Linked DNA regions of Astyanax mexicanus. The protein of the gene in region 1 interacts with the protein of each later gene in a pairwise test. Links are inferred from orthologs where the notes say so. Each region holds a gene or a part of one and is shown on either strand. Other genes may lie near its edges.

The links.
Region 2: the proteins of nab2 (region 1) and nedd9 interact in binary tests that used the Homo sapiens proteins (3 or more experiments, as listed by UniProt). The two-hybrid records come from large-scale screens. The link is inferred for Astyanax mexicanus from reciprocal best matches to the Homo sapiens genes NAB2 and NEDD9.

What each region holds. Positions count from the first base shown.
Region 1 is NC_064431.1:14,543,970-14,549,719, forward strand, and holds the start of nab2 (NGFI-A-binding protein 2), read left to right. Parts: upstream 1-1,617; 5' UTR 1,618-1,667; coding exon 1,668-2,585; intron 2,586-4,756; coding exon 4,757-4,890; intron 4,891-5,750. UniProt on the Homo sapiens protein: Acts as a transcriptional repressor for zinc finger transcription factors EGR1 and EGR2. Isoform 2 lacks repression ability.
Region 2 is NC_064410.1:63,490,890-63,496,639, reverse strand, and holds the start of nedd9 (enhancer of filamentation 1), read left to right. Parts: upstream 1-2,667; 5' UTR 2,668-2,901; coding exon 2,902-2,913; intron 2,914-5,750. UniProt on the Homo sapiens protein: Scaffolding protein which plays a central coordinating role for tyrosine-kinase-based signaling related to cell adhesion. As a focal adhesion protein, plays a role in embryonic fibroblast migration.

The sequences.
Region 1 (5,750 bases):
AAATATTTTTAAAAACTTTTGCCTCAATGACAGGGCAATATAATTTATTTACTCCTTTATTGGGTAGACACTAGGGGTGGGCGATAAAGCCCTAAAATAATATCACAATGTTGTATGGTATTTTCGATAATGATATTCTTGACAAAATGACAAGACACTGAATTCAAACGCTTATTTCAAGAATACACTACTGCAACAAAATTAAAATTAAATTTTATTATGTTATATGATATGATATGGCACACCCCTAACTGAGATATTAAAAAATACAATAATTTTATCAGATTTGTAACAGAAATCAATAATCCAGAATGTCATGTTGCTAATAATGCACTTTATATATCTCCATATATCCAGGATTAAAGTAAAATGAAAAATACTGGACAGATATAATCTGTCTCTAGTAGATATATAATGGAAAATGAGAATAGTGTGATTTTTTTTCTTTTGCTGACAACAGCAAAACAAGTATGTGATAATTAGGGGTGGGTGATATGGCACAATATTTTTATTGTATAATATTGTTCAAGAAATTCCAAAATGTTGGCGATATTATTGCGAATGATACTATATGGCACACCCCTAGTACTCACAGTACGTTATTAGCTAATATAATGTCAAACATTTTTTTTATATTGCAGTATGTTTCATAAAACACATTTAAGTAAAGCAGTGTCAGATATTTTACAGTATTGTGCAGCCCTATCTCGGCCAGTGTAGTATATTATATACTGTTTAGCTAATTAAACTCGCTCATGTAACTTACTCCAAACCTTACATCCTCATTTTAACCAGCGGCAACTAGTGTTTGTGTATTATTTCACACATTTATGGAAACATAATAACAAGGAGAATTTAATAAATGAAGATGATAATAAAAAAAGAAGTAATCTTGGTTTATATTTTACAGTAACATGTGTGGATTTTTCCTTTACAATAAAACTAAACAACAGTGGCAATTGTCAAAAATACAGCTAGATCTCATCACCCCTCGCTAGTTGAAAGGTTAATTTGACTGCTTTAACCTTAATATAGTGGTTTATTTATTTGACTGGCATTGTTGTTAATTTTGTTTTAGATATAATCTTTATGGTTTTGTAATAATACAAATATTTGTATAGGTTTAGCAGTTTTTTTTTACCTAAAAGGGAACATGTATATTCCTCATAAATGTTTAACCCACATGCGCCCACACTGTTATTACAATACTGTCAAGGTCTCATGATTGCCAGTTCCAAGGAATTTACCTCCTGAGCCCACACACACAAACACACACACACACACACACACACACACACGTAGAGTTGTGGGCAGTTCAATATAAATGTCACCAGCTGAATCTTGGGTCATTAAGCTTCACCATCAGCAGCAAGAGTTCAAAAGAGCACAGTTGGTCATGCTTTTTCTCTCTGGTTGGGTACATCAGGTGGTGCTCTCTCACATTGCTCTCATCACTCCCATTGTGATTCTGGTCAGCACCGGTATCTGTTGGCTGGTGTATTAGAGCTTGGGATCCAGTGAGGTTTTGCTGCTATTTTACAATCAGTAACATTCCATATAAAAGTCAGAAGACACATGTAGTTTCATTGGTGGGTTTAAACAGAACATTTGTTCATTATAATGTTATTCTTATGGTCACTTCTCATCCAGCCATATAGCCACCCAGGATGTCGCTGCCGAGGACACTAGGCGAGCTGCAGCTGTACCGGGTCTTGCAGCGGGCCAACCTGCTGATGTACTATGACACCTTCATCCAGCAGGGTGGTGACGACGTGCAGCAGCTCTGTGAGGCAGGTGAAGAGGAGTTCCTGGAGATCATGGCCCTGGTAGGCATGGCCACCAAGCCCCTGCATGTTCGTCGCCTCCAAAAGGCCCTGCGTGACTGGGCGGCCAACCCTACGATCTTTAACCAGCCCTTGGCCACAAACGTCGCTGCTGGAGGAATCCCACTCTTTAAGATAGACAGCAGCAGCGCTGGAGGAACTGCTGTCGTTGGGTCAAGAAAGTTGAGCAATGGTCAACCAGGGTCGCCTTGTGATAGAGAAGATCAAGGGTCCTGCCTTACGCCATTACGAGACAATGGAAGCCCTAGAAGCCCCTGCTCTCAGGCATCACCTTTACCACCCGATCATCTATATAGGGACAAGTTGAGCCCGATGGAGCCGCACTGGCTCAGCCCAGACCCAGATGGAAGCGTGGGAGCCGATGAGGAGCAGCCCAGTCCTCCATTGCCTCTTACGGTTCACAACAGGCCCATCGGCCTCTCGACACCACCCACTTCGTCCTCATCCTCCTCCTCGTCCACTGCAGCAGCCTCCCCATGGCCTGGCGGTCAGCTGGACCCAGAGACGGCACGGGCCGTGGGTGAGAGCGTGGATCGCCTGCTCAGGACCATGCCCCAGGCTGACCCGGGTGAGGTAAAGACTTTACTGAGGCTCAACAAGAAGATGGCCAAGACAGTGGGACACATCTTCAACTTGGAGCCTCAAGACAAGAGCAAAGAGGAGGAGATCCGCAAGTACAGCCTCATCTACGGACGCTTCGACTCCAAGAGACGAGAGGGCAAGCAGCTGACTCATCACGAGGTACGTACACCTGGGGAGATTGGGGAACTGTGATTAAGTTACTGTAAGCTTCCTGGCTGCTGCGCTTTAGCTCCAACGCCAACCTGCCATATGCTCCACCAGTCTCAGAGGAGCTGTCACAGTGCTGCTGCCAGAGAGATTAGGCTGGTGATGTGGCAGCGGAAAGGTATAAAGCAGGGGTGTCAAACTCATTTTGGCCGAGGGCCACATTGGCATATTGGCTGTCCTCCGAGGGCCAGATGTAACTTATAAATATAAGAAAATGTAACCAAATGTAATATATGTAAATGAATGTAATTACTCCTTAATGTTAAATAACTCTCAATATATTATTTATTCAATCAAATATTACAGTTGCATGGAAAAAATGTTTGCTTGTTGCTCTATTAACATAAATCCTGTTATGAAATCCAAAAACTCCATCAATCAAGAACCAAACTATACAAGTGAATAGAAATGACATAAAATACAAGTTATATTAACTTTGATCAAAACGTTTGATACTGAAAAGAGGCTTAATAAATATAAAATCAAAAATTGTGAGCTGTGACAGATTTAGCATTTCCTCATCCAACCACTAGTGGGAGCTGCAGCAGCACAAGCCCACAGTCTTTACTGAGTCAGAGCTACAGCCCAGCCACGGGCTACAGGACTCAGTCTGGAGCGTTTTTAAAATTTTAAGTTCTTCTGTGTATGAAATAAAATAACCCCACTAACCGGATAATACAGCTCTCTACAGTTCATCTTTCAGCCCAAGCAGCTAACAGCAGCAGTTTAGAGCAGCCATCCCGGAGTCACTGCTCGGATTACATTATAAACAGGTCAGTTAGCGCGCTGCTAACCTCAGGATGTTTATAACTACGGAGTTTAGAACACACCACGGCTGCAAGGTTAGACTGTTGAAGGCTACTGGAGACTATTAAAGGCTATTGGAGGTTATTGAAAGGGTTATTGGGGGCAGAAATCAGTAAAGGCTGGTTAGATAAGTGATTCACCTCCTCGTCCTTTGCTGAGGTGAAACTGCGACTAGCGATGTCACAGTGAAGTTTATTAACCTCATTAAAACAGATTTTATCAGCTATTGTCTTATAAATATTTACACATAATTTATATCTCTTCTAAAAAGCGTTTATTTTGGTCAGTAACACAAAATGCATACCGGTCTTTCGCCTTGAAGCACAGCCGTCCGTCTGCATCAACTTTTCTTTTTCTGGATATTATGGGATAAACATGTCTCAATTCCACCCGCGAAGTTACACCTTCCCTCCGGCAGGGTTTCCACATCAATGACTACACTGCCGTGTAGTGGCAGTAAGCCGTAACTTTGCGGGTAATACAATCGACAAGCATTGTGGGAAATGTATTTTTTGGTCAAAGAACGCTTCTGACCTATTTATTATAGACACTAAGATTTTACAAGCTCTCGCGGGCCACATAAAAAGACGTGGCGGGCCACATTTGGCCCGCGGGCCTTGTGTTTGACACATGTGGTATAAAGGGTAGAACTTTTTTTTTGCATTTGGAACCCAGGAGAAATAGATATTAAAGTATATTTTTTGTAAATTACTAATTTTTGTTGTTTTGTTGTTGTAATTATTAAAATCAGAATATTGATTCCATAGTCTGCAAAGGCTGGTGTGTCAAAAGTGCATCATTATATCTGTAGGGGTTTTATATCTAAGTAAAAGTTTGTAGTTTATTTTGAAGACCACATGGTGATATGGTGGTCCAAGATAATATATTGAGGCCAGAAGACAGTGTTAAAGATAGTTAATTATATATTAAGGCCATATGATAATATACATAGAGGACATGACATACCGGTAATTTATTAAGACAATGAGATAAGGCCACATGATACAATATTTAGGCCATAAGATAATATGTTAAATCCAAAAAATAATACACTGATTATAATCTATGAAGACCATGAGAACATTAAGTTTCATGCGCCCACAAAATAATAATTAATGCCATGAACTTATACATTATGGCCACAACATAAAATAAAGTATTAAAAACAACCACCACATCACTGTAAGATCTTTGTAGTTTTTATATAAATTGGTTTGTATGTTGACAAATGTGGGTGTTATAAAACCCAGATGATTTAAACGTGGTAAGGATCAGTTCTGGCATCTTAATGCTTCTGCTTGTGTCTTCCTGCTTAGATGATCATCAATGAAGCAGCTGCCCAGTTCTGTATCCGGGACAATGCTCTGCTGTTAAGACGGGTGGAGCTGTTCTCGCTGGCTCGACAGGTCGCACGAGAATGTGCCTACACCTCAACGCTCAAACACACCAGGTCAGAACCCAGCACATCATCTCGCAGCAAAGGAAACAAATAAACCAGAAGAATTAGCACTACTAATCAATTCTAATAAAAACTGTCAGGACATTTAATGCCAGGTTCACACTACATGACTTTTAGAGTCATCAGATGGTTTTCATGTTTAATCTTTAAACACTACACAATGGGGAATTTTTACACTAAGATTTTACTACATGACTGATCAGCAACACGGGGTCTTTAACCAGGAGGAACCCACACTGTTAAAATGTGTGTGAGTTTTTTGAGTGTGTTTTAAATAACCTTCAAGAATTATTATTATTTTTTTTTGTTCTTTGAAACTTTCTGGAAGGTTCCTCAATTGAAGAACCGCTAAATGTATTTTGGATCTCCAAAAACACGTTTGGTCAGGAAAAAACATTCAAGAACTGGTGCTACACAATGCACAAGACATGTTTGTTTTCTTCCAGAATGGAGAGTTGGAAAGAAACAAGCGATATAAGTATAAGGAAAATAATATTTAAAAGTATATGGATAAAGACTGAGGTGTATAGCTCCTTCTTCAGCTTTCTCTTCATGTCATGCGTTCATGCATTCTCATTGGCTGTGGTAGTTGCCAGTAGGTCCAGATATTAAACCTGCCAGAAATGTATTGGGAGCTTGCAAGGGATCGACAATCACCTGGAAATCACTCAGACTGCCTGTTTTAGCCTTTCACACATAGCGACTAATGCCTCCAATACGAGACCTCTGTTGGTGTTTTCCAAATCAGGTTGGCGAAAGTCTTAAAATCAGGTCTAAAATCATGTAGTGTGAACTCAGTGACAGTGACAGTTTATAAATGTTTGTGCCTTTTTTATTTTTTCATTCAATTT
Region 2 (5,750 bases), on another chromosome or scaffold:
ATAGCGCCACCTAGTATCAGAGCAATAGTGTTAGTGGAATATATATATGTATTACACTTCTTCTGTGTAAGGAAGCTGAGATACTGAAAGGTACTTTCGTCACTCTGCACCACATTTCCACACACCTGCTGTTCCTGCACTTCCTCCAGCACTGCTGATCTGTTTGCTTAATCATCTTCCGGCGGCTGAAGCCACAGGAAACCGCATATATTTCTATACCATTCAACTAAAGACATGTAGTGCGGTTATTATTACAATACTGTGTCTTTTGGTGTTTAAAAAGGTTTAATATTTAACATATTTACAAGACCCTAACTGATGCAGGGAGTAGCTTCTCAAATAGTTAAACAGCCAGGTGGAAAGACTCTGAAAAAGATTCTGTTCATCTGTTTTAGAAGCATCAAACTATCGCCATGCATCGATAATGCAGAGAAAACATCTGAAGAGATTGTAGCTGAAATACTAAAATAGATCAGGTTTCATTATTAAACATCCAATTTCAGAATGGAAAAAAAAAAATCCTGAATGATTGAGATCGGGGATCACTTAAATGTTTGGTGAAATTGTACAACAGCACCAGAACTTACAGATACGTTGTTTAATAGTGAAAGTAAGAGCTTTACCACTCACACACAATGTAGTGAAGAGAACTGAAGGAATTAAAGTGACAAAACAGCTGCGTTGCCTTAAGAGAACCACTTTTCTGTGCTGTTCACCATTGTCAATAGATGATAATTTTAGGTTGAATGTTGGATGTCAGATGGCAAAAAATTTATGTCAGGATAACGTCTAATACTGTTACATTCCTACAGGGTTATCAGTGAGGCTAATGATCTCCTTCAATTGCTCCAGAGTCCAATCTTAACTTTCTCTATCAAACTAAAGCTGTTTTAGCATCTTTAAAAATGTGTCTTATTCATCCAGTTAGCTAGTTTTTATAGAACAGAAGAAACTGTTGCTCGTCCTTTCCAGGAGCGGTCCTGATGAGAGCCAGTTTCATCATTCCATTGTTTTTGATGGCCTTATCATATTTATAGGATTTCTGACTACACAGAAATCATATAACCTGCCCGGCCAAAAAAAAGGTCACCACCTGGATTTAACTAAGCGACATAAATCAATAAATCAGAGAAAACATCTAAAGAGATTGTAGCTGAAACTACTAAAATCAATCGATCAGGTTAAGAAATGTCCAACACACTATTACTAAACAGTGGAAGAACATCATCTTTCAGAATGGGAAAACAATTTCGAACATTTGGGAAAATCATGCAAATGGCAGAGAAACAGCACTACAACTCAGGATTGTTTAATAGTGAAAGTAAGAGCTTTGCCACTCACACAATGCAGTGAAGGGAACTCACTTAAGAAAAGCACTTATATCTGTTATTTATCCACTTAATTTCTCATACAACAGAAGAAACTCTTGCTCTTTCTTTCAAGGGGTTGGTCCTGATGAGTGCCAGTTTCATCATTATAATGTTTTTGATGCTCTTTGCGGTGACTGCACTTGAGGATACTTTCAAAGTTCTTGAAAATCTTCTTTCTAGATTGACTGACCTTCATTTTTTCTCAAAGTATTTTTTCTTTACTTAGTTGAGTAGTTGTTGCTTCTCATAATCTGGATTATTATAGAACATTACTCAAATATTCACTATTCACTGTATACCTGTAACTCTACCTCTTCACTACTTTACTTTAACTGATGCTCTCAAACACTTTATTAAGAGGCAAGAAATTCAAGTAATTAACTCTCGATGTGTAAAACTGATAATCTAAACAAGAGGAGCTACTTTTTTCATAGTTTGGATGAGTTTAGTATTAATCTAGAATGCAGAACATTTTAAAATAATGAAACAAAAAACAGTGAATTGAAGGTGTGCTCAAACTTTTGACTTCTACTGTATATAACGCTAGAAAAGAGCACTTAAACATGAGGAGTTTCTTTGATTTTACCAAATTAAAAACCTCTGAAATATAATCAAGAGGAAGATGGAAGGTCACAAACCATTTGTGAATTTTTGCACCAGGAGTAAAGCAGCATAAAGTTATCCAAAAGCAGTGTGTAAGACTGGTGGAGGAGAACATGATGCCAAGATGCATGAAAAAAAACTGTAATTAAAACCAGGATTATTCCACCAAATATTGATTATTTCTGAACTCTTAAAACTTTATGAATATGAACTTGTTTTCTTTGCATTATTTGAGGTCTGAAAGCTCTGCATCTTTTTTGTTATTTCAGTCATTTCTCATTTTCTGTAAATAAATGCTCTAAATGAGAATATGTTTATTTGGAATTTGGGAGAAATGTTGTCTGTAGTTTATAGAATAAAACAACAATGTTCATTTTACTCAAACATAAACCTATAAATAGCAAAATCAGAGAAACTGATTCAGAAACTGAAGTGTTATATTGTGATAAATAGATAGATTATAGATTACAGAGTTTACTGTAAATGAGTAAAAGGCAGTGGGGTAAATTTAGCTCGTGACTCAAAACCCCTTATGTCATAATTTCCCCAGTTGGTTATTCAAATCTGAGCTTTCTCATTGGCTGAGTGATGTCACGCCGGGGACTGGGCTTTTCCCTGTCTCGACCAATAGGCGCTGAGATATGCAAATGAGGCTAGCAGTTCGTGGCGTAGCGTGCGCGTGCTGCTCAGAAGGCAGTGAGGCGGGCGCGCGCGAGGCCGAGTTGGAAACATTGTATCGTGTCGGTGCGTTACGGCGCGTTCTGAGCGTACTGACGGCGTTACGCTCGCGATGGCCGTTTAAAAAGACGTCGTTTAAACGTCGTGGATTTCGGGTCCGAGCTTTTTGCGTTGTTTTATTTATTTAAACGTTTCTGAGGGATATTTTCACCCGTCTCGCGCCAGGAGGACAGACGGTGACGTAGCCAGGATGAAGTACAAAGTAAGTGACTTTTCTACGGAGAGATACCTGGTGAACCACCTGTACTACTGGCCAGGTAGAGGGGGTACATGTGGTGTTATTGGACTTGGCTATGGTGTTTAGAGCTAAAAATCAAAATACAGTGTTTTTTTGGTGATTTTACTAATGTTGGACAACATGTCCTGCTGAAATATACAAGATTAAGCCCAGTTTTTGTTGTTTGTTTGTCGGTTGTTTGTGCTTTTACATGGTCTAAGTGTTTTTTCAACAGAGATATTGTGGTTTAATTAGTCAATTTATTGGTTTTTCAAGATAAAATCTATAATACATTGATTTTATTGCTGGTTGTACTAATTTTATTGTCACTACACACATGGTTTCCACTGTTTGTGTGGTTTATATACCAACTGTCTTTGTATAAAGAGCTAAAACATATATTTTTGGTGAATTGTACCAATGTTGGAAAACATGTCCTGGTAAAATTTTCTAGTTTAAGACCAGTTTTTGGTGTTTTTTGCTGGTTGTTTGTAGCTTCAGATGGTCTAAGCTGGTGTTTGTTGATCAATGTGTTTTTTTCATCAGATATTATATGATTCAATTAGGTTATGCATTGGTATTTAGAGCTAAAAAACAAAAATACATTGATTTTATGGTTTTATACCAACAGTCTTTGTGGAAAAAGCTTAAACTTGGTGGTTTTATTAGGTTATTCATTGGTATTTATAGGCTAAAACTTAATACAATGATTTTTGTTGGATTGTACTAATAGTATTGGCTGTACAAACCAATTTAAAGCAGTAAGTTATACATGACATATGTGTATTTTTATGCAGTGTAATGATAGTTTATATGGTTTCCTTATCAGCTGTTTTTGTGTACAGAGCTAAAACTTGCAAATATATATATTTTTGGTGAATTCTACTAATTGTTGGTTGTGCTGGTTGTTTGTGCTTTTAGATGCTCTAAGTGTTTTTTTAACAGAAGAAAATATGGTTTAATTAGGGTATTCATTGGTATTTAGAGCTAACCTGAAAATACATTGATTAAATGGTGGTTGTACAAATATTTTGTCTGGAAACATGATATTCAATGTTTGTAGGGTTTTTATACCAACAGTTTTTGTGTAAAGAGCTTAAACCTGCTAATACATTGGTTTTTGGTGGTTTAATTAGGTTGTTCGTTGATAATTAGAGCTAAAACCTATACTATATTGTTTTTTTTTTTTTTTGGGTTGTACTAATAGTATTGGCTATTGAAACCAGTTTGAAGCAGAATAAGTAAATAATGTGTTTTGTGCTGTGTAGTGATGGTTCATATGCTATACACATGGACTGTCTTTGTGAAAAGAGCTAAAACTTGAAAATACATAGATTTTTGTGAATTGTACCAATGCCCTGCTAATATTTTCAAGTTTAAGACCATTTTTTGTCGGTTGTTGCTGGTTTTTGATAGCTGGTAAACCAGCTTTTGAGCTGTATAGTATATGTTACAATTAATTCTGCTCATGTTGGGGAACCAACTTGGGTCAAGGTTGGTAACAGACCAATAGACCAGCTAAACCCTCAAACTAATACACTAAAATAATATCATATACTGACCAAAAGGTCAACTGGTCAACCATCTCAATCTGGCCTTGTTGGTTTTTGAACAGAGATAATAAGGTTTAATGTTGCTGTTCTTTGGTATTTAGAGCTAAAACCTATAATACATTGATTGATTGGTGAGTTGTATTGATATTATTGTCTGTGGAAACCAATTAGCAGCTTTAGAAGTGAATACTGGGTGTTTTTATGTGGTTTAATGATACGTTATACTGTGTATATATATATATATATCAATTATACTCTATAAAGAGAAATCTTGCAAATACATTGTTTATTGTTGGGTTGTACTGATATTTTGGGCTGTGAAAACAAATTTGAAGCTGTATAAGTGAAATATTTGCATTTTTATTTAGTGTATTGGTAGTTTATGTGATTTACCTAAATCACTTTTTTTTGCTTGCAAAGAGCTAAAACCTATAATACATTGATTTTATGATGAGTTGTACTAATATTATTGTCTTATATTTAGCTTTATAAGTGAGTACTTGGTATGTTTGTGGTTTAATGAAATTGTATATGGTTTATATACCTGCGTTTTTCTTCTAAAGAGCTAAAACCTATAATACACTGATTGTATGGTGAGTTGTACTGATGTTATTGGCTGTGGAAACCAGTTTCCTGATATAAAAGTGAAATGTTTGTATTTTTAAGTGGTGAAATTATGCATTACATGTTTTTATACCAGCTGACTTTGTGTAAAGATCTAAAATGTTGAGTTGCATCATTTAAGTGACATTTAATTATTTATATGAGATTTAAGTGCTAAAATATGAAAATACACAGACTTTATTGGTGGGTTGGACTAATTATTGGCTGTGGAAATTGTTTAAGTGATATTGGGGTATTTTTATGCGATTAAAGAGCTAAAATGTGAAAATACAGATTGTTTTGGTGAGTTGCTCTAATTATGGAAACCAATTTACAGATTTAATGATAGTTTATATGGGGAGTATACCCGTTGTATAGAGATAAAGGCTGAAAATGCATTGGTTTTTAGCTGGGTTGCACTAATATTCCACTATTGTTTATTATTGGTAATAATAGGTGGAAATATAGATTTATTTGTAGGTGAAAGTTGTTTTAGGTGTTTTGTAGTGAGGTAAAGTGATTCATTTGTATTTATATGGAGTTTATGTGGTTTATATTCCTGCTTTCTTTCTTGTAAGTAGTTTTTCCTGGGAAATGCTGCTGTTTGAATGGGTTGGCAGGGCTTAATGGCATCATTTGCACTTTCACTGGTGAAGAATGGCTCCT